Schizosaccharomyces pombe: one gene and its partners. The gene in region 1 interacts genetically with each later gene. Each region holds a gene or a part of one and is shown on either strand. Other genes may lie near its edges.

Evidence for each region.
Region 2: mutations in cdc20 (region 1) and cdc6 are lethal when combined (synthetic lethality), as found in Schizosaccharomyces pombe (one study listed by BioGRID).
Region 3: mutations in cdc20 (region 1) and psf1 impair growth when combined (synthetic growth defect), as found in Schizosaccharomyces pombe (one study listed by BioGRID).
Region 4: mutations in cdc20 (region 1) and cdc24 impair growth when combined (synthetic growth defect), as found in Schizosaccharomyces pombe (one study listed by BioGRID).

The regions. Positions count from the first base shown.
Region 1 is NC_003423.3:3,252,117-3,259,724, reverse strand, and holds the start of cdc20 (DNA polymerase epsilon catalytic subunit Pol2), read right to left. Parts: upstream 6,004-7,608; 5' UTR 5,837-6,003; coding exon 1-5,836. Other genes in the region: respiratory chain complex IV assembly protein Cox20, read left to right, coding at 6,541-6,591, 6,658-6,772, 6,926-7,122. UniProt on the Schizosaccharomyces pombe protein: DNA polymerase II participates in chromosomal DNA replication.
Region 2 is NC_003423.3:2,741,733-2,749,112, forward strand, and holds cdc6 (DNA polymerase delta catalytic subunit Cdc6), read left to right. Parts: upstream 1-2,029; 5' UTR 2,030-2,110; coding exon 2,111-2,339; intron 2,340-2,391; coding exon 2,392-5,423; 3' UTR 5,424-5,458; coding exon of another isoform or gene 5,459-6,595; 3' UTR 6,596-6,864; downstream 6,865-7,380. Other genes in the region: Ras guanine nucleotide exchange factor efc25, read left to right, coding at 1-1,433; hen1 (S-adenosylmethionine-dependent methyltransferase), read right to left, coding at 5,459-6,595; ribonuclease H Rnh1, read right to left, coding at 7,059-7,380. UniProt on the Schizosaccharomyces pombe protein: Catalytic component of DNA polymerase delta (DNA polymerase III) which participates in chromosomal DNA replication.
Region 3 is NC_003423.3:2,013,360-2,016,796, reverse strand, and holds psf1 (GINS complex subunit Psf1), read right to left. Parts: upstream 1,436-3,437; 5' UTR 1,298-1,435; coding exon 689-1,297; 3' UTR 501-688; downstream 1-500. Other genes in the region: serine/threonine protein kinase Ppk32, read right to left, coding at 1-227, 378-402; alp5 (Ino80, NuA4 and Swr1 complex actin-like protein Arp4), read right to left, coding at 2,434-3,437. UniProt on the Schizosaccharomyces pombe protein: The GINS complex plays an essential role in the initiation of DNA replication.
Region 4 is NC_003424.3:2,863,215-2,867,407, reverse strand, and holds cdc24 (DNA replication protein Cdc24), read left to right. Parts: upstream 1-1,581; 5' UTR 1,582-1,620; coding exon 1,621-1,712; exon of another isoform or gene 1,713-1,767; coding exon 1,768-1,852; exon of another isoform or gene 1,853-1,906; coding exon 1,907-1,934; exon of another isoform or gene 1,935-1,998; coding exon 1,999-2,198; intron 2,199-2,256; coding exon 2,257-2,920; intron 2,921-2,965; coding exon 2,966-3,100; intron 3,101-3,141; coding exon 3,142-3,443; 3' UTR 3,444-3,678; downstream 3,679-4,193. Other genes in the region: SPOM_SPAC8F11.08C (esterase/lipase), read left to right, coding at 46-1,119, 1,173-1,229; brr6 (nuclear envelope protein Brr6/Brl1), read right to left, coding at 3,841-4,193. UniProt on the Schizosaccharomyces pombe protein: Has a role in the progression of DNA replication and in the maintenance of genomic integrity. Acts during S phase, after initiation, where it is essential for completion.

The DNA of each region.
Region 1 (7,608 bases):
GAACAAACCCAACTTTTGTATTAGACTTTTCTAATTTTTGCTTATAAACCTCTTCAATAAACTCAACAATCCAACTCTGAAATTCGGGCTGAATGATTGGAGGTAAATGACTTTTAATGTGCCATGAAACAACTGTCTGTGGTTCTTCATTTGTAGCTGAAAAATTTGCTGCCACCATTTTTCCTCCATAATTAACGGAATCCATCCATAAAAGATAATCCCAGTATTCCGTGACATTTAGATCCAAAAAGTGAAATAGTGGTAACGTCTTAATGGATTTGAGTAAATAATTTGAATAAGTGACAGCGTTCTGGACGATTAATTTGCTCGTTTTGATTAATATTTTATTAGCAGAAGCGTGTATGATATGTGCTCCAAGGCGTTTTATCTCAGAGAGAAGTTGTAAAAAAGTTTTTCTCATTATAACTTCCACGTGCGAGGAGAGTAAAGGACTGTACAGATAAGATTTTGATGAAGAAATCCATCGGGCTAAATGTTGAATTATAAGATCAGCGAGATTATTACCGGATGCAGCTTCGTTCCACCAAGTTTTAACCAACGCCTTCAACACCGGCAATGAATGTGTCAGTCCAATATTATCATGTATTCCCAACTTTTCCTCCAGATCATCATTTATGGCGGTCATGTAATTATCATTCAAAGCTGCCATGTCGCCAATACCTTCTATGTCATTTATGAGAGCAGAATTGAGAATGCTACAAAGTGCAAGGTTGGAAAGAGAAATGTCAACACAAGCATTTGAATAAGCACCAGGATTGTTAACTTCTAGTGGATCTTTGGGACTGGCAATCTGCAGAATACTATCCTTCTCAATACCACCTAAGTCTGGAGTTGGGCCTTTATTCCACCAAAGGATAATATTATGTTCTTTCAGCTTTCTAGAGTAAACAACATCGATACTGTACTGAATGTCATCGCTTTCAAAGTTGCATAATGGGATATCTGAGAAGCGAGAAAGTTGTATGCGATGGAAAAGCCAGCTACCAATAGCTAAGAAATGTTGGATCATTTTCGTAGCAATGTGTTGTTTCCAAGAAAGAGACTGTATGTTGCTCTCAAGCCGTGGTATCATTATATACGGAAGCTCTTCAATTTGCTTCACATTTGCCTTCAATATGTGAGGGAGTGAACTTTCAATAATAAGCAGACTATTTTTAGTTTTAGTTGAAAAATATTGAAGCAACTTTTCATCTATCAGTTTGTACGCTTTCCTTTCGTTTCCCGAGAAAATGACATTACACGAAAGAGTATCAGGGTATTCGATACTACTTTCCTTAATTAAATTATCAAATTTCGACCGTAGCTCTTCGTAAATTTTGCTGATTGATGGGAAAGACATATCACTACCTGGCAGTTTGTCATAAATTATGGCCTCAACTTTTTTTAAATGTGGCATAAAAAGTGAAAAAACAAACCTATTACTAATGGAAAAATGGAATGCATAAAGGTAGTTCATCTCTACTCCATCAAGATAGGAAACATCGTTATCACTTGGGTCAGTGAACATTTTAGATTCAAATCCAAATTCGAAGCCTTTACCTAACGCTCCAGGTACTGAATTATTAAACCTTTTTCTGGATCCCATTTCTAATATCAATCTTTCAATTGGTTCTATACGAGTCTCATATATTCCACTAACAGACGGATGGGCAAAAATCATAGAAATTGATACCTTTTCCGTTAAATAGCTCTTTTCTGGAATTTCAAGTAAAAAAAGCTTATCCGAAGTGCTTCCATGCGGTAATATCGCATTGCTTTTTTCAATTAAGCATCCCTCAATTTCAACATTCGGTAAAGTCTCATCTTTGAAACATACAAAAAACTTTCTATTCACAATGAACCGTATCGAGGTCAACCGATTACGAATAATTACCCAAGCATGTAAAATACCAGGAACATCGGTTTCTCGTATTTGTAAAATATGCCATAAATTTTCAAACATAACTTCAGCAGAAGATTGTAAAACATTGGTGAATTGCCTTGATTGAAACCCAATTAAATGTCTTCTTCGAAGCTTGACCTGCTTCTGATATTTCCACTTTTTCTTAGCATACTTAAGCCAATTCGAATATCCATCCATAAAGGATACAGGTTTTACTTCAAAAGATACAGGTGCTTCCGAGTTCCCAGATTGTTGTAAAAGTTTACGCTTGGTAACTCGAGCGACAATACGCTTATCTTTGTGAGTCACACTTCCTAAATCCTCAATATCAGTAACTTTTGTGTTGTTTATTGTGGATGGATTTGTAGGGGCTAAGGAGAAAATGGAATCGATCTTTTTCTGTTGGTATTTAGAATTCAAGACAGCAACTCGTTTTTGAAGCCAGTCCGGCAATGGAAAACGGGTAACGGGGTTTGAAATCCTTTGGAGAGCAGCAGGGATGCTAATTAGTTTTTGTACTACTGATCCTAGACGTTTCAAATAATAATCCCAATCAATAATGTCTCTAATATCAACATCATATAGACCATTATCTTTCAACCAGAGCCTAAGAAAATGTCGCTTAACAGATTCTTCAGCAAAGAAAATAGCTACCGGTACTGCCCTTTCTGCAACTGGCCTTCCTTTTGGACTTGCGGAAATAATAAAACGACATGCTAGACCTTTGTCTTTGGTCATTTGATCACCCAAAAAGTCAGCCAGTCGCCTGGCTGTAGTAATGGATGTCGATTTTTGGCTTCCGTATTCAGACAAAGCTTTAGACATACTACGATTCTCAGAAATCAGTTCAATTAATTCATCATCTGTTAGGTTAGAGCCTTTGGTGAATAGAATCTCTAACCAAGTGTCAGCAACATAGGCAACTTCTTGATAGCATTCCTCTAAAGAATCACCTTTCAAAAAAACTTTAAATATCTGAGATTGAAAATCCTTAATGAGCTTCAATTCTCCTCTTCTTTTCACCTCAAAGCCTTTAAGTTCAGCTAAACTACCATCGAAATTGAAAACGGCATAACGCTTTTTTAAGTTTTTACCTTCTTCCGTTGAAGCAGGCAAAATCATAGCTCTATAAGGACCATCAACCTCAAAAAAAATGCTGTTTTCACTAGTTGTTTCATACACCAATTTCTCTGGGTCCTTTAAGGCAGAATATTGATGATTGGTGAACTTTTCATGAACCAGGTGATTTAACATAACGCATGGATAAGAGATAAAAACCTTTCCTCCGGATTTCTTTTTAAATTCAAAGTTTTCAGGAAACGATTCTGGAAGAATACACCAAATACCATCTGTGTCAAGTTCCAATGGCCTACCTGCACGTTCAACTATTTGACGAGCCATCTGAATAATCGTAGCGCCTGTCAAACATGTGATACCAGCCATTTCAATCGAATACCAACGGGAGCCTTTTCGCATGACATATCCATAGAAAGAGTTTAAAATAACTTTGTGAGCTAACTGTAAAGAATCGTAGAGTACGACCATCTTTTTGGCCTCCTCTATTTCAGCAAGTCCTCCTTTTTCCTTTATAGCAGCAAGTTGTTTGACCCATTTTTTTTGCAATCCTTTAAAGTCATAACGGCGATCCCTAAAGCTTTTTACCGTATCAATATAAAATGAGTTTTCCTTTTGACAAATTATAGTTTCCCTTTCGATAACGGTATTATCATATAGACGGTGATACACTTTACGGCTGTAATCCGCAATGCGCTTTTGCACCATAGCAGCTTGTTCTGAGGGAGAAAGCTCTTGAAATGACCTAAAAGGTGAGAAAGGGGTAGGGCCTGGAAAACGCTCAGATTGTAAAGCAGAATATATCATATGATATTCACCTTTTTTAGCAGGGTAATACTCCCCTCTCCATGCCCATACCATCCGACGATCACATGTCTTATTGGGCACATTAAGATCGCATGTTGCACAAAACGATTCATCTTTTACTGAATCTGGCTGTAACCGGTTGGTAATCATAATATTTGGGTACATTGAGGCGACATCAAGATGGTAAATCCTTGGCTTCTCCGACCTTTTTGGTCGATCACGAAGGTCACTTAGTTTCTTTAATATGCTGTCTCTAACCTCTTCATAATTTTCGATTTCATCAACATTGACGTTGTTTTCAACTGTTAAAGAAAAATCTAAGGCTTTGTCCAACTGTAAAATTAGTTCTTCATAAACTTTTGGATCCATGTTGAAATTAGTCGGCAAGTCGCTTCTAAAAACACCACTTTCAAGACTTTCAACATGTCCTCCAACATAAGTCTCACTTGCAAGTAAATGACCGTCGAAAAATTTTTGACTAGCATCAACATGTTTATTCGGAAGAATAATATTTTTTGTACAAGCCTCAACAGTTAAAAGCGTTTCACACAACGTACCCGTGCCTTTACGTAAAACTTCATCAGGATTTAATGGGATAATGTTACAAAGAGAAAAAATGAAAGGATGCACATATTTCATGTAAAGAAAATAAGTAGCAACAGCATCTGAAACTGAATATTGAGCAAGAACTTGAGGTTTTTCACTTGCATAAGGAGTCATCAATTCTGGATCTAGTTCGATAGGATTATAACCTAATTTACTGACAGTGACAGCTTTGAGACCTTGACTTCCTTGAGGTAAATAACTATCTCTCTTTACCCACCGGAAGGCATCCATATGACTACAATAAGAAGACTTATATTCATCCTCTGCGTCCCTGAAGAAACCAGTTTCTTCTGTTAAATTCAATCCGTGAAATGCAGCACGTGCGTCTACAAATGGCCAGTCAAAGAAGTCACCATTGTATGTAACTATTACTGAAGGCTTTGCAGACCTTATATGTTTAAAGAATCGATGAAGTAGGCCAACTTCATCAGGCTCATTAAAAATAATAAATGGGCCCTCAAATTCCTCCCTCGGAGTATAATGAAAATCTTCAATATTCTGGGAAATAATTTCTCTATTGGTAATTAAAAATCCTTGGCCATCAATCATATAAGATATCATCATTATTTTATCGAACGAGCTATCAGGAAACTTCAATGGCAGCTTAGTGGTTTCAATATCAAAAGCCATTATAGTAGGTTCTGCACGCTCGATTCGGGAAGCTAAAAGGGATATTTGAACATGGCCTTCATGATATGAAACAGTATACCATTGTCCGACTCGAATATTCAAATCAATAAGTGTACGAGAATGATACGGAACATCGTACTCACGGATATCTAAAACATGATTTAAAGGATCTTCAAATGCGTTTTCTATAATCCCGTTTAAATTCTCCGAAGACAAGTTAGTGTATGCATCAACGGCATCTTGTTGGGAAGAATTAGCTTTCACAGCAGACATCAAAGACTTCCTGACAGCCTGAAGGTCATTCAGGTTATCAAAAACCAACTTTATATACAACTTTTGGTAACCCACTATGTGGTTTTTTAGCTGTAAATCTTCTTTAAAGATACGCGTAGTAGATTTAATTAAGCCCACAAATTTTTTTTTTAAATAATCGTCAACCAAAGCTTCTTTACCTTCTCGAGCAGCAATGTAGAAGTAAGGAGAGTATGGAATGGTACACCGGAAAGTGTCACCATCGTCTTGAATGAAGTAAAAGTCAACGGCACTGAGGGTAGAATTGCCTTTGGTGCTTTCGATTACTGTTGGATGAACGTTGAGAAGCCAAGCTTCTCGTGGTTGTCCACCTTCATAGCTATCAAAACCCATCATTCGATCAATCTCATTCTTTTTGTAGACAATTTTCATAGGATCATTGAAGCCAACTTCCTCGGTTGATTTTGCAAACGTCCTACCGTTCGATTTACTTTTTCCATTGTAGTTACCATTAAATTTCCTAAACTGATATTTGGATGCTCCTCGAGCTGTTTTTAAGGGCATAGCAATACAAAATAAATATTAAAAAAAGAAAGTAAAAAGAGACCGACAGTTTAGTAATTTCCGATTGTTACCAGAGAATTCTAAATTAATAAATGGAATAGTATTAAGAAGAAACTTCTTCTATTGTACAAACATTAGGTATCCTTTTAAATGTGATATAGTGGTTTGGATTAATACCGAGTTAAGAGGCAACAAATTGGTAAACAACAAGTCGCGTCGCGTCGACAACTTGCAAATTATTTTGGGTATCATGTTCCAGTTCAAAGCATTACAATTTATTTATTTTTGCCATAAAATAAAGACAAAGTACAAAAAAATACAAAATTTAGTATACATTAGCCTAATGATCGTGTGTTTCGACCGTAAGTAATTATTTCAAATCGATATTGCTTCCTTTAAGGATTGAATTTAAAGAAAAAAAAAAAAAAAAAAAAAGCAGTTTTCTTTTAGAGAAGCATGGTGACGCGGTTTCTGCTTTCAGTGATATAAATTGTCAAAGCTTGGTTATTTTGGCGAAATATACTATCATAAATGGAAAAGTTTATATTAATTCAAAGAAAAAAATATTGTCTGATTGCTGAAGTACAGGATTAAAGACCCCGCCATAGTAAAAAAACTTAGTAGTGCTTAATTCAATCAGTTTGATACCTTATATTTACCTCTATTCCACCATTAACTGAAAAAGCTTAAACGAATCAGTAACTATGAGTACACCAAATGAACCCGAAAAACCTGGGATTATTGACGCTTTCAAGGTAGAATTTATAGCTTAAAAAGGACTAGTTTGTTGTAAATGCAAGGAATGCTAATACTACTTGTAGTCATTGAAGATGAGTGATTTTGCTCACATGGTACACCATCCTTGTTTTAAGGAATCATTAATCACCAGTGTCGTCTGTGGTCTAGGTGTTGGTTGCATCCATTTGTTTCTTCGAGGTACGAAAAAAAACATTATGCTGGTTAATTGATGTCCGTCAAAAAAAATCGCATGTCTTTTAATTTTCGGACCAACTTTTTAAAACGGTGATTTCAATCCGTTGTTTAATAAGCGGTTTAAATTCTTGCCGACACATGCTAACAATATTCAAGCACCTATTTCTAGAGCTGCTAATTGGGGGTTCGGAACTTATTTTGGAATGAGCATCGTCTCTTGGGAAGGGTGTAATTACCGCAAGCAGCTTGAAACTAATAACTTCAACATTAAAATTACAGAAGCAGCAGAAAAGACCCCGAAGCATCGCTCTTCAAGGTCCGCTCAAGAAATTGATGAAGGTTTTAACGAGTAATTGCATTCATTTGATTCTTTAGGTTCTACTTATTCTTAAGCTCTTTTCATCCCTCTATTGCATGGTATGCTGAGTTTTTCATTTGATCGATTAACTCTTATTCAATTAATATTTTAAATTTGAGTTCATCGGAATGGTTTGTCATTTTTAAATGGTATTCATTGAAGAGTGTGAATTATCACCAAAGAATCCAATGTTGAATTTTTAACTGCCTCGAAGAATTCAATCTTTTTAGGGTGCCATTACAATGGGTGGAATACATACTCTTGGTATCTTGAACGTTGTATTAACAGCAAAAAAGTCTTAAAAATATACAGCATCCACATTTTCCCAATATTAACTAAACAATGGTAGACTTTTTGTTCGTTATTTACTTTATAAGTACTAGCTCATCTCAATCTTTCGTGCGTGTATGTTTACCCCTTTATCGTAAAGTCAGTCTACGACCTTGCGAGGGCATCGCATGATTTCAGCTAAAAACTTTCC
Region 2 (7,380 bases), 510 kb from region 1:
TCGTCGATGAGATGCAGGAATTAGCAACAAAAGAGTTTGAAAACAAGTTTTCAAATGCAAACACAGCAAAAGATGACGAACCGGCTCGTCAAACTAACAAAGGTACTACTAGAATTTCTAGAAGTTCTGATTTTACCGCTGTTAGCGAGATGAGCAAGGATACCTTAACACTTGGCAGAAACTCTTTGCAATCAATTTTGATGCTGGATAATTTGTTAACCAATAAAGTTGTGCAAAGCGATAACAATGTTAAAGGTGGAACTTTACCGGCCCTCGTGCATTACCTTGTCCAGAACGTTCACTTGAACAAAGATTTTCGCCATTCGTTTCTTTTGACTTATAAAACGTTCACTACCCCCCAGGAATTGTTTACGCTTCTTGTCATTCTGTTTCACGAGTTACCGCCACCAGGATTAGATGCTACAGCATATAGTTCTTGGGAAAAGGGAGATAATTTTGTTACCAAGAAGAACGTCTGCACCGTTATGAATTTGTGGGTTCAAAAATACTTTTTTGAAGATTTAAAAGCCCGTAACACTCTTTATTTGATTTCGGAGATGCGTACCTTTTTACGTGACCATGTTGTTCCATCTTTTCATATTGGCAGTGTAATTTTATCGGAAATTGACAATCTCTGGACTGAAGAGCCTCCAGATTCGTTAACCCAACGCCTATTATCTTCTCCCATGGCTACTTTTATTTCTTTAAACGTATATGCTTATACTCCTGAAGAATTTGCTTCCCAGATGACATTATTGGAGTTTGATTATCTAAAGCAGATTCCTTCGAGGGAATGGATATTTAGAAGCTGGGTTAGTCGCGATTCTCGCAGCGCTGTCCGAAATTATATAAACTTTTCGAATTGTTTCACCTATTGGATAATCAATTGTATTTTAGAGAAAAAGAATACCAAAGCTCGTACAGCAGTAATATCCTTTTTTATACAAACTGCCTACAAGTGCTTGTCCCTCCAAAACTTTTCCACTCTAATGTCTATTGTTTCTGCCTTAAATTCTGCTCCTATTTATCGTTTACATGCAGCGTACAAACTTGTTAAAGCTGAAGACATAATATGTCTGTCTGGTTTACGTGAAATCGTGGAAACAAAGAAAAATTTCAGTACTTATCGTGCTTTACTTCGCAAGGCTGAACTTCCTTGCGTACCGTTTTTGGGTGTCATATTAAGTGACTTGACTTTTATCGATGAAGGTAACCCCGATGTTCTTGATTCATCTCCACATCTGTTAAGTTTTAATAAGCGGCATCGACTTGCCGATGTCGTCGCAGATGTGTGCCGATTCCAATCCTCCTCTTACGAAATGCAATCTAATACTGATCTTCAAAGCTATATTTTACATCGGTGTCGCTTTGTTAACCAAGATCTGTCCTATTTATTTGATAAATCACTCTCACTTGAACCTCGTTCTTCTTAAATCTTATTTTTTACCCCTCTCTTAAAATCCCGTTTTGGTTTTAGCCCGTATAGGGTTCGCTCTTTTAGTTGTCTTTCAGACACAGCTTTTAATCTATCTCTTTACGTATTTACTGTTAATGTTATCGTATTGGTTTAACTGACATGACCTTGATGTTGTATTATTCATTAGGCGTTGGTAAACAAAGTCTCAGAATAAATTATCGGAATTGTCGGTTTGTAGGCTGATGACTCTGCTCAGTTTTCTTAATTCCTATTGCTTGGAATCTAGTTCTTTTTGTTTTTGGACAATTGCGTCCTTTTTATTACTAATATCTTCCATTAATAATAAATTAGTCTTTTGTTATGCCCAAGAATACATTAAGTAGTGGTTTATGTAGCTTGATGGAGATTGGTATAAACTTGTATATTTGATTTCTTTCTCCATCGTAATTTGACAGCTAACCTATTTAATGTGGTTTTACCTTTTCAGCAGTTGACACTCATACCAAAATTTATTGGTGTACGCTTTGAACTTACCTACAAGATATTCGCCTAAGTACCTATTTGTTGTTACCTACAAAACCCTTTTAGTTGCTCGTCTTCCTACCAAAAACCAAGAGCATGTAAGCTTGGTGTCTTCCTTATTTACCATTTTCTGTTCTAATTTTCATAATAAATAAAAAATTAATTACTAGAATGACAGATAGGTCTTCAAATGAGGGCGTCGTGTTAAATAAAGAAAACTATCCATTTCCCCGAAGAAATGGTTCAATTCATGGCGAAATTACAGATGTCAAACGGCGACGTTTAAGCGAAAGAAATGGATATGGTGATAAAAAGGGCTCATCCTCAAAAGAAAAAACTTCATCTTTTGAGGATGAGCTGGCTGAATACGCTTCACAATTGGACCAAGATGAAATAAAATGTAAGGTTTTTTGGATAGCTAACCATTTATTAGTATACTGACTCCTTGATAGCTTCAAAAGATCAGCAGTGGCAACGACCAGCTTTACCTGCAATAAATCCTGAGAAGGATGATATTTATTTTCAGCAAATCGATAGTGAGGAGTTCACAGAAGGATCTGTACCTTCAATTCGTTTGTTTGGTGTTACTGACAATGGAAACAGCATCCTTGTTCATGTTGTGGGATTCCTTCCGTACTTTTATGTTAAAGCCCCGGTTGGATTTCGACCTGAGATGCTAGAACGTTTCACACAAGATTTAGATGCTACTTGTAATGGGGGTGTGATCGATCATTGCATTATAGAGATGAAGGAAAATTTATATGGATTTCAGGGAAATGAAAAATCTCCATTCATTAAAATCTTTACTACTAACCCTCGTATATTATCTCGAGCACGAAATGTATTTGAAAGAGGAGAATTCAACTTCGAAGAGCTTTTCCCTGTTGGTGTCGGTGTCACTACTTTTGAGAGCAATACGCAATATCTTCTTAGATTCATGATTGACTGTGATGTTGTTGGTATGAATTGGATTCATCTTCCTGCTTCAAAATATCAATTTCGTTACCAGAATCGAGTTTCTAATTGTCAAATTGAAGCTTGGATTAATTACAAAGACTTGATCAGTCTTCCAGCTGAAGGCCAGTGGTCTAAAATGGCCCCACTGAGGATCATGAGCTTTGATATTGAATGCGCAGGTCGCAAAGGCGTTTTTCCTGATCCCTCTATTGACCCTGTAATTCAAATTGCAAGTATAGTAACGCAGTATGGAGACTCCACTCCTTTTGTTCGTAATGTCTTTTGTGTTGATACATGCTCACAAATCGTTGGAACACAAGTATATGAATTTCAAAATCAGGCTGAAATGCTTTCAAGTTGGTCAAAATTTGTTCGTGATGTTGACCCAGATGTTTTAATTGGGTACAACATCTGCAACTTTGATATCCCTTACCTCTTGGATCGAGCAAAAAGCTTACGCATTCACAATTTCCCATTACTTGGCCGTATTCATAATTTTTTTTCTGTCGCAAAGGAAACCACGTTTTCAAGTAAAGCATATGGTACTCGTGAAAGCAAAACCACTAGTATTCCTGGGCGTTTGCAGCTTGATATGTTACAAGTAATGCAGCGTGATTTTAAGCTTCGATCTTACTCTTTAAATGCAGTCTGCTCTCAGTTTCTAGGCGAGCAAAAAGAAGATGTACACTATTCTATCATCACTGACTTGCAAAATGGCACTGCCGATTCTAGAAGACGTTTAGCTATTTATTGTCTGAAAGATGCATATTTACCCCAACGCTTAATGGACAAATTAATGTGTTTTGTTAACTATACTGAAATGGCAAGAGTAACAGGTGTACCGTTTAATTTTCTTCTTGCTAGAGGCCAACAGATTAAAGTTATTTCTCAATTGTTTCGCAAAGCTCTTCAACATGACCTAGTTGTTCCAAATATACGTGTAAATGGAACAGATGAGCAATATGAAGGTGCTACAGTCATTGAACCGATTAAAGGATACTATGATACCCCTATTGCAACACTGGATTTTAGTTCACTTTATCCTTCGATTATGCAAGCCCATAATTTATGCTATACGACATTACTTGACTCAAATACTGCAGAATTATTAAAACTTAAGCAAGATGTTGACTACTCAGTGACTCCGAACGGAGATTATTTCGTTAAACCACATGTTCGTAAAGGACTACTCCCTATTATCTTAGCTGATTTACTTAATGCACGTAAGAAAGCAAAAGCAGATCTAAAAAAGGAAACGGACCCATTCAAAAAGGCTGTTTTGGATGGTAGACAGCTAGCTTTAAAAGTAAGTGCTAATTCAGTATATGGATTTACTGGTGCTACCAACGGACGTTTGCCGTGTTTAGCAATTTCTTCTTCTGTTACCTCTTATGGTCGACAAATGATTGAAAAAACCAAGGATGTTGTAGAAAAGAGATACAGAATTGAGAATGGATACTCTCACGATGCAGTTGTAATCTATGGTGACACTGATTCTGTTATGGTTAAGTTTGGCGTTAAAACGTTACCTGAAGCCATGAAATTAGGAGAGGAAGCAGCTAATTATGTTTCAGACCAGTTTCCGAATCCTATTAAACTGGAGTTTGAGAAAGTGTACTTTCCATATCTTTTAATTTCCAAAAAACGTTATGCAGGATTATTTTGGACTCGTACAGATACTTATGATAAAATGGACTCTAAAGGAATAGAAACTGTCAGAAGAGATAACTGTCCTCTAGTATCTTATGTGATTGACACAGCTTTGAGAAAAATGTTAATTGATCAGGATGTAGAGGGTGCACAGTTGTTTACAAAAAAAGTTATTTCCGATTTGTTACAAAACAAAATTGATATGTCACAACTTGTAATCACAAAGGCATTATCAAAAACTGATTATGCTGCCAAAATGGCACACGTTGAATTGGCTGAGCGAATGCGTAAACGAGATGCTGGCTCCGCCCCAGCCATAGGAGATCGCGTTGCATACGTTATTATTAAAGGTGCACAAGGTGATCAATTTTATATGAGGTCGGAGGACCCTATATATGTATTGGAAAATAACATTCCTATTGATGCAAAATATTATTTGGAAAATCAACTCTCCAAACCTTTGCTTAGAATTTTTGAGCCTATTCTTGGTGAAAAAGCTAGCTCTTTACTTCATGGTGACCATACTCGGACGATTTCCATGGCAGCCCCCAGTGTTGGAGGAATAATGAAATTCGCAGTAAAGGTTGAGACCTGTCTTGGATGCAAAGCTCCCATAAAAAAAGGTAAAACTGCTTTATGTGAGAATTGTCTAAATAGATCGGCGGAACTGTATCAACGTCAGGTTGCTCAAGTGAATGATTTAGAAGTTCGTTTTGCTCGCTTATGGACTCAATGTCAGCGATGCCAAGGAAGTATGCATCAAGACGTCATTTGTACCAGTAGAGACTGCCCCATATTTTATATGCGAATTGCAGAACACAAGAAACTTCAGCAATCTGTTGACTTACTGAAAAGATTTGATGAAATGTCCTGGTGAAAAAGATGGATGTTTTTAATTACTAAATGTGTATATCAAACGTAATGATGAAAAGTTATAATAAAAATTCTACTTTTCTTAAGTACTTTTGCAATGCGAAAACTAAACGAGTTTGCCAAAGCTATACCTTTATGTTTGCTTTTTTTTAATTCAGGACAATATGATAAGTAAATTGAATCATCATAATGGAAGGCATGTCGAATGAGAGGCGAAGACTCCCAGATAAACAAGAAAGGTAATTTTACTGACAAAGCACACTTGCCAGCAATAACCTGGAATAAAAGTAAACAGTGACGTCCAAATAAATGATCAAAAAATGCTTTTTTCAGAAGATTCATAAATTGCTGCACTGTTGGAGGAAATAGTTGCTCCATAAATGGGTATGTAATCTTTTTGTAAAGAAGGATGCTTGAATTTTGGTCTTTTAAGAAGCAATGAGAAGCAGCATTGTTTTTAGATTGATGAAATACTGCGATTTGGGTGCAGAAACCGTAAGTAGATGATGGGCGAAAATGTAACAAATCGTCACCATCTATTAGATCATTTAGCAAACCACAGCCCGTAAATTCAACAGTATACTCTGGGTATCTTTTACAAATTTTATAAGCCCATTTAGCAAACTCTTTTCGATCCCATTCAAAAACGTGTTCAGGATGTCTAAAATTGGTAGAAGTACGAGATGATATACTACTTGTCAAGGTTGATAGTTTCTCAAAGATTGTGTTAAATTCAAAATTCGGAGTTGACACTACGCAAACATTGGGCTTCAAGTTTCCAAAAACAAGTTTTTCAAAGGCTAAAATCTCTGCAACTTGACAATGCTCAATAAACTCTGAAGCTACAACCGCATCAACATGTTTATAATGAGTAAAATCTTTAATATTACCAAGCAATAATTCAATATGTAGCGGTCGCCAACGTAGTTGTAAAAAGTCTTCGGTTCTAACCTGTAAAGCCTCAGTAGCTCTTTCAATACTTTGTTCGTTAATATCAATACCGGCCAGAAATTCTATAGGCACTTGATCATTGCAAGGTACTAAATATGATAGAAAACGAGCATCTCCACATCCAATGTCTAACAAAGATCGCACAGGGAAGCCTCCTTGAAGTATTTTAAATAATTTCCTTCGACGCTGTACATGCAAAGGTGGGTAAAAGCTAGAGACACCCATTGTCTAAACTCAAAGTATTTTTGGTACACTTTCTTCACGTTAGTCAAATAACTACCTATTAACTGTGAATGTTCGTTTCAAAACCACTATTTAAGCCTTTTCAAATTCATTACGAAGCGAATTGTTATTAATTCTTTGCTAAGTCCATTGCAATATGATTTCGATGACTGCCGTTAAGACACCGAACCAAATTTAATTGAAAAGGGAATTGTTGACTAGTGCGAAGTGTCATTTTCAACGTTAAATAATAAAATTATCTTAGCTCCGAATCTATACTTTTCAATTTCCTCTTTAAAATTGTTATAATAGCATGATATTTAATTACAATAAAATATGTAGCATTATGCAAAACGAGAACAAAAAAAGCACATACAACCAGCGAAGAGTAGACGAAAATTATACGGCAAATTTCAAAAGAATGTACCTATATCCATTTTTTACAGCGCTCATCATAGATGACCATTTACTCAGAAGCTCCTCGCCGAGCAAGCATATCGGCTTGTTGATTACCGTAATCGGTACTGTGTCCTTTCACGTACTCTAGCGAAACATTTCTGTCACTCATCAAATCTGAAGCGCGGTTGATCAAATCCAAATTTTTTACAGGTTGTGAATTGCTAGTCTTAAAGTCATTTTTCTTCCATTTAGGCAGCCATGTGGTTAGTGACTTAATGGAATAATTGCTGTCAGAGCGGATGGTCAAATCGCCAGATGTATTTTCAAGGGCTAGGATTATGGCTTGCAATTCCGCACGATTGTTGGTTTGCTCTTCCCCAGCCAACGGT
Region 3 (3,437 bases), 1.2 Mb from region 1:
AGAAGACACATCTTTTCTTAAAAGCTCTAAGACATAGTTTGTTTTCAAATTGGAGTCAATAGACCCGCGTTTTAGTAAGGTGGACAAATTCTTTTTATCAAATGTAAACACTGAAACCTCTTCGTTGGTTCCCTTTTTGGATGCCGAATAAACAGTCCAAGGACCTACTTGGACTGAATTTTCTTTCTGGATATCATAATCATATTTAATTTTTTTGGAATTTGATACTAAACATTCAACGTTAGAATACTTACTTGGGATACGAAATGTATCTAAATAGATTATAGAAATGACGATGAGGATGATCAATTACATAAACATAACTACAATCTTTCATACAGCGCTGATAATCGAGTTTATCAAGGAATATAGCATACCTAGTCGAAGTGCATTGGCTAACATAAGCTGAAAAAGTGGATGGCTTTGGAAAAAAACAACTTAAAACAACAAAAACAAAAAGAAAAAATTATAATTATTTTTGAATCCCTTCGAAGCAAACCAAGTATAAAAATTGAACACCTTTTTTTCGCGGTAGTATACAGTGGAGATGGTAGGAATGAATGGCTTATGGATGAAATTTTTAGGGTCAGTTCAAAAAGCAGTGAAACTCTTATTTGGGAAACAGAGGATTAAATAAAAAGACAATTAATTAAAGATTATAAGAAAGTCGTATTTTTTAGTTTGATAATCATAACTTAGCCAAAAAACCTTGGGCAATGAGTCGTTCAACGTCTGTAGCACGCACATGCAATTGTGAATTTTTAGTAAGGTTAATAGTACCATATTCAGTTTCAATATCTCCAACGTCCTTCAAAACTCGGACGTCTATGAACAAATTTTTAGGAGGAACCAAAGAACCAGTCAAATCCAGCTCGGACCAAGCGCCTTTATAAGCAGCCAAAAGTTCTGAATATCTCGTTAAATAGTCACGCTCATAAGTACTTAGAGATGTATCTAAACAAGATTCCATTCGTTTGCCTCCGCTCCAACAGTATTGACGAAGCCGCTGCAGCCTTAAATTATGGTAAGCCATTAAACATCGCTTATTGTAGATACTAGAAGAATGAAACATCAATAGAGCTGCCGCTTCAGAAGGATGGTCCTGGGGCTGGAAAGGTTGACTAGCCTCATGTGTAACATTTTGAAGAATTCCTAGACTTTCGCGATCTGCTGCACGAATTTCGTTGACAACATCATTAACGGTGTCCGCTTGGTAAGGTGGGAGATAATCTAAATACTGAGTTCGCTTTGAGTCCCGAATTAATTTATTTGATCGATTCCCCAAACCATTCTCCATAGTGATTAGAAGCACTAACTATCACGATATGCTTAAACAGATTTTCCTAATTATGTTTAGTTTAAAAGAAACGGATTAGTATAATTAACAACGACACTCGATAGTTGTTTAAAGCTATATTGAATGGTTGTGGATGACAAGTCGTTGGAAAATGACATGTCTTTCATAAGACCATAATGATGCATTCCTTAGTAGAAATTTTACTGTAAATAAAACATGGATCTTTTATAACAAAATTATTAGTTGAACCTACTATGCGAATTTTTAAGAATTTATTATTTAAACATTCACACAGATTTAAAATGAAGCGTATACTTACTTGGATTACCTCAGTTTCATAAAGTAATGTATACTAATTCAAAGGATTGAATGAGCCCTAAAGGTATCATTAAACCGAGTTCCTCACATCGTCACACATGGAATGAAGAGATGATTTAACGAAGCTTCAAATTATCAACTTACAAATCATTGCTACTAAAATTATAGAAACCAGATAAAGTTTCATTTCAAAATAAAAGAAAGGATATCATTCAATGATTACAATTCTCACGTAATATTCAGAACACAGTACGATGTGCTTGCTTCATCGGACAGGGCTTTAAGGGAATAAAACAATCACATTGATGAGAAATTAGAATCTAAAGGGGTACAATTTAAAACCTATCACTCATATCCAAAAAATGGCAAGGCATATTTAGCTTCAAATAATTGAGCTTTAATGTAGCTTAAAATGATTTTGTCAGTAAGACTTTCTTTTCTGCTTACAACATAAAATCCAATCGATGTATTGGCCGTACTCAAAAAAATCCGCTTTATGTATAATCTGCGGAAGATTACACAAATTCAATAGCATGAATATCACAAAGAGCCAACGAACCAGTCCAGAGTAACAATCTGTTACAAAAACAAAACTTTTGATGCTTATTGATGATAGCAAAATACATGATCCAATATTTTCTCTTCAAATGATAGGTATAAGGACAGGGAAAGAGTCTCATACGTAAAGTAATAATATCTCAATTATTTTTTATTTCAAACGAAAGTTTCCCCTTTTTTTCCACTTAAGGAAAATTCCCTAAAATCCAACGACTTTTAATTAAAGGTTCATTAGAGATTAGTAATTATCATTACACGTATTATTTACATCGTTTTTCGATTAAAGCCAAACGATCAGAACCATGTTCTTCATATTCTTGACGTGATATCCATAATTGATGAAACGTTCCAAGACTACTTAAAATAGATCCACCTAACCATGAAGCATAACTGCGTTCAACAACATGACCGGAAGCATGGATTTTAAGACGGCTGCCAGGATATAATTTTGAAAGTTCATTTTGCAGACGAAGAGAGAATCCTTGCATCAAACTAGTGCCTCCACAAACAATAACATTGTTGAGCAAAGAAGCACGGATATCAACATCGCATTCCGAAATACAGTTCTGGAACAACTGAGGTATCCCCAAAATGCGAGAAGAAGTGTTGGTAACCGAAGAATCTTGTTGTGATACCTCATTATTTTCGGTTTGTTCTATTGGCTTCGAAGGTTCCTCGTTCATTTCTTCATCACTTCCTGGCACAAACAAATGTTCAGGAATTTGATAGCGTTCCGCGCCAAACATCATACGGGAACCGTCTGGAAATTCGAACTCTGATTCAGCAATCGTGGTTTCAGATGAAAATGGAACATCGGAAATGAGAGCACATTCTTCTTTCCATTCATCGTAGACTCGCTGGACCTGAAATTGATGATAAGAATCTGTAGTATCACGAGGACGTAACTCACAATTAGCTGGCTGCCCTATCTCCACTGGATTTTTGCTTTTCACTAAGTACTTAGGCATCACTTCGAAATTCTTATCCCTGAGAGTTTGCGCCAAAATATCGTTAATTGCATTCCCAGAAAAATGTTGAACCTGATAGCCTTTTTGAAGCACAAAACCATCATATATAGCAGACACCGAGCTACGCTCCGCACCAATGTCTACTAAACAAGCAGTACCTTTCCCGCTTGCAAACGCCGCACACGTCTCCTGCTTGGCGAGGTATGTTGCAGGACAACGCAAAGATTCAAACATCGTTTCTAGTGTTTTCACTCGATTTTCTGGGGGATTATCAAATGGTTCCGTAATCAAGATTG
Region 4 (4,193 bases), on another chromosome or scaffold:
ATATTAACCAATTTAGTATTGAGACAAAAATCATTCCATGTAGTAATGGGGTTTGCGACGATTCTTTATTCTATTTGGGTAGTACTTTCATCTTTTGTGATTCTTTCAGCATACCAGCTGGAAGTTCGCAAATTTTTGGTTAAGTTGTTGTCCAAGATAGTCATCGGTGCATCTGAATCAAATGTTGCTTCTTTTTTTGCTTTTGTTTCAGAGAAAAGCTTAGAAGCGGCAAGCGTTAAGTTCGTTGCTACTATAATTGCTGAGCGTATGGGTGCCCAATTTTCTTCTTTCTACGACAAAATATTTTTTGTTGATATGCTTGGCCTTGGATCCTTGTTTGCTTTGGCCGCTGTTAATGTACTTGCCGCCCGAAAACTCGAGTCTGAATTACCCGCATCTCTTGAACCAAGCATCGGTAACCGCGATCAGCAAAAAAATAGCTCACTTGCAAAATGCTTCAGTAGGTTATTTATCAATGATTTACATGGGACAACCGTCAAACGCTACCCATACATCTCTTATCTTCCTAACTGGCTTTTAGCCAAAAATAATGCTGAGCGTCTCGTTTACAAAAGTCACCTTTTATTAAACGCTTATTCACCTCCAAAATCTGCATCCGCATCTTCTGTTATTGTTTGGGTTTGTGGTGCTAAGAAATCCGAAAGCATTATCATTCCCTACCTTTCATCTTTAGGCTTCTTCGTAGTGGTTCCCAATTACGCCCAGCCTCCAAAATTTCCCCTTTCCGATGCCGTCGAATTTGTATCTTTGTGTGTAGATTGGATAGTAGAGAATGCCATCTATTATGATGCAGATCCAGAACGTATTTTTTTCCTAGGTGAAGATACTGGTGCGTCTGTCGCTCTTGAGAGTCTAAAACACATTCGACCAAACTCTGTAAAAGGCATTTTTGCTCTGTGTCCCCGTTCTATTCAAAATTTAGTGTGGACAAATCAATCCACTATTCCTATGATGACATTACATGCTGGAGATGTCAATCCGGTTAGCGACAGTAATGATAGAGAATCATCCGAAAAGGCATCATTGATTAAAAATTTTGTTGTACCTGGTGCTGTCCCTTATTATTATGAATTTACTTCTCCAAGAACAATCTCAACGGTATGTCAATATAGTAAATTCCTTATTTCGTTAATCGTTTACTAACCCGCCAGGCTACGTTCATCGCACGTTGGTTCTTCTTAGTAGAAGATAATAAGAAAACAATTTAATTTTACGAGTGCATTCCTTCTCTAGATGGGTAGTTTTAAGTTTGTTTTAATATTTTACAAGCATATGCTTTTTTGTTTGCTAGATGTTTCATCTTTTTTGACAAGCATCCCAAAACCGGATAGATATCTGTTTTAAATGAATTAAATATTATATTTGGTTATATGCTGTTTATTGTGTCTTCTTACTTAAAATTTCGATTGTGATATGAAATAACAAAAATAATGACAGCAAACAAGTTTTTAAATTGTAAAAATTTTATAAGTATTGTTCAATATCATTAGGCGTAACAGTATAAAAACAGATGATACTAAATGGAGTATTTAGGCAGCTGTCAATTATCTATATTCTATCAACTACTAATCTTAGAGCAGTAGTAAATTTAATGATTATATGGATTTTCCAGGTCTGATTAAAAAAATAAAAGAAGATCTAGAAAACCGCTTAGTTGAGAAATCTAAACAACCAGCATTCACTGATTACTGGTGAGTAGATGCTAAAAGTTAACGCATATGTAAAGAGTGGCTACTGACAATTTAGGTTAATAAACAAAACTATCAGCTTGTTAAAGGAGTATCCCTCAGGGTTTAGCTATCCCATTTTAATTAACGAGATTGAATTAGCGGTAAGGAATCTACTTACTCTACAAGTCGATAAAATCTGACATGCATGAACGTAGTGCTCGGAGAGAAATAAATTGGACAATGGTAACGAGAAAGTTTACTTTTTTTTTTGGTATAAAGAGATATTGACCTCCTTTTTTGTAAACAGTTTTTTCTTCTTTGGAATGGTTAACGAAATCAGATGCAGTTATTTATTTGGAAGACCAGTTTCATTTTCATTGCTATGATTATTATTATACCCCAATACCGTCTTTGAAGCTGAAAGATAGTGAGGAGAATACGTGCGAAATGATTTTGCATTCCAGTTTTTATTTACTCTTCCATGAACCATTTAACATTTTGAAAGGTGTAAGGTTTTTGAATATCATCTCCTTTATAACAGTGATTATCTAAGACCTTTATTTAGTCAACTTTACGCTTTTCTCAGTCACGCATCCATCAAAAATGGTATTTACGAAAGCAAATACGTTTCCTTCCTACAACTAGCTTTGTTCCAGTATTGCAATATGCTGCATCAAAAAGTTTTGTGAAATCAATGGTTGAATCAACTGAACATGAATTCTTTCAAATACGTGATATTACTATAAGCAAAAGTGATCAAGGTGTGAAACGAATTACTGTGGAATTGGGTCGCATCATTTCTTTAGACAAAAAAGGTGCTTTTCTTATAGACAACAATACCAATTTTATACATTTCTCAGGGACTTACCATGATTTCCCTAAGCTGCTAGACAAGCAACAATACCTACTTATTCCATTTTGGAGTACCGTTTGGGAAGGCAGTACCAACTGGCAGGATGGAATGATCGGTATTTTGGTAATTTTAAGTGAGAATGACTTTGAAGAAAAAAAATGCGACTCCTGGCAAGTGGGACGCTTAGCTGCCGTTAATTCAAATTTTCTTGTACTGGATAACAATGGTCAGCGAGTGAAGATATTGTATTCCAATTCTCAAAAGCATTATTTCAAGGATACCTATATTGGAGATTTGCTATGCATTAGCCCAATCAATCATTCTTCTGACAATCTAAGTGATTATTCATGCGTTAGTGACACAACGACTGAAATTCGTAAGAAATGGTAAATTTATGGGATTGAATATTGATTTATTTTAGTGTCAAACTTGGAGAACCCGTTATCCTCAAACTTTTTGAGAAATGATTTATGCAAGTTCTCCAACCTTTTTTCAGGTGTTTCTGGGCATTTAAAAATTCAACCGTTAACTTTGGTGATCACCGGATTTGTAGCGAGTAAGGGTTGCTTGTTTTACGAAATACTAATTGAATGATAGATTTAACCCGCCAATCTGATTTAAATACCAGTTTGGTCTTGCCGGAAGTAAATCCATTAACAGCAAAAATGGAGGTAATTGACTGTTTAAGGAATAGTTTTTGGGCAGCTTTACGACCGAATTGTGTTTCATATTTTGCGTCTATGATTTCCGGCTTTAAAGAATTATTCCAAAAAGAAATGGAATTTCCAATATACCTGGATTTGAAGTCGTACAAGCTCGGATTCCATTGGTGTGATATTTATGTGGACTCAGAACACAACTGCCATATACAAAAAATAAACTCTCTGCCGTGTGAATAGCCATCGCCATTATCTGAATAATTATGTCTAACAAATAAAAATCAAACATTGAATGTTTGAATGAAAAGATGTACAGTTCATTCAATCATTCTCCGTTTTAAAAGCTTAGTTTGCTTAATTTACTAATATACTACAGTTTAAAAGGCTTATAAATAATGCATTTTTCCAAAAAAGAAATTCAAAGTTAGAATATTAATTGGCTCACCCTTGTGAGAAACAAAGCAATACGATACAATGAACAGCTAAATTAACAAAATTATAAAAGAAAATGAATCCGAATAACGAAATTTGTATGCCAAATTAGAAAGCATACCAATAACGTTCAAAGTAATGATATAAATGAAAGTGATGAAAAATGATTTTAAGAAAAATGAGGTTAGTAGAAAAATGAAGACGTTCAAATTTCTTCCTCCTGAGAGGCAGCTTCGATAAGGTTTCTATTGGAAATATCAGAAAGATTGGAAGGAAGGAATCTACTGGACGGTATCATCGCCGGGATAGCGTTGGCAGCATAATCGTGGATATTTTGAGAATGTCTAGCTCTATAAAGACCAAAGGCGTAATTGGATGTTAGTAGACTTCCAAATACAAGAATGAGGGAAAAAACCATAGTTTTATAAGAAATATGACTTATAAAAGCGTCTATAATCTCAGCAAAAACTAACGCTGCCAACTTTGTAGAACCGACATTATTAGAACTTTCCATTTTACATTGTTTCAGTTTTTGACAAACTTCAAAAATAGCAGGTC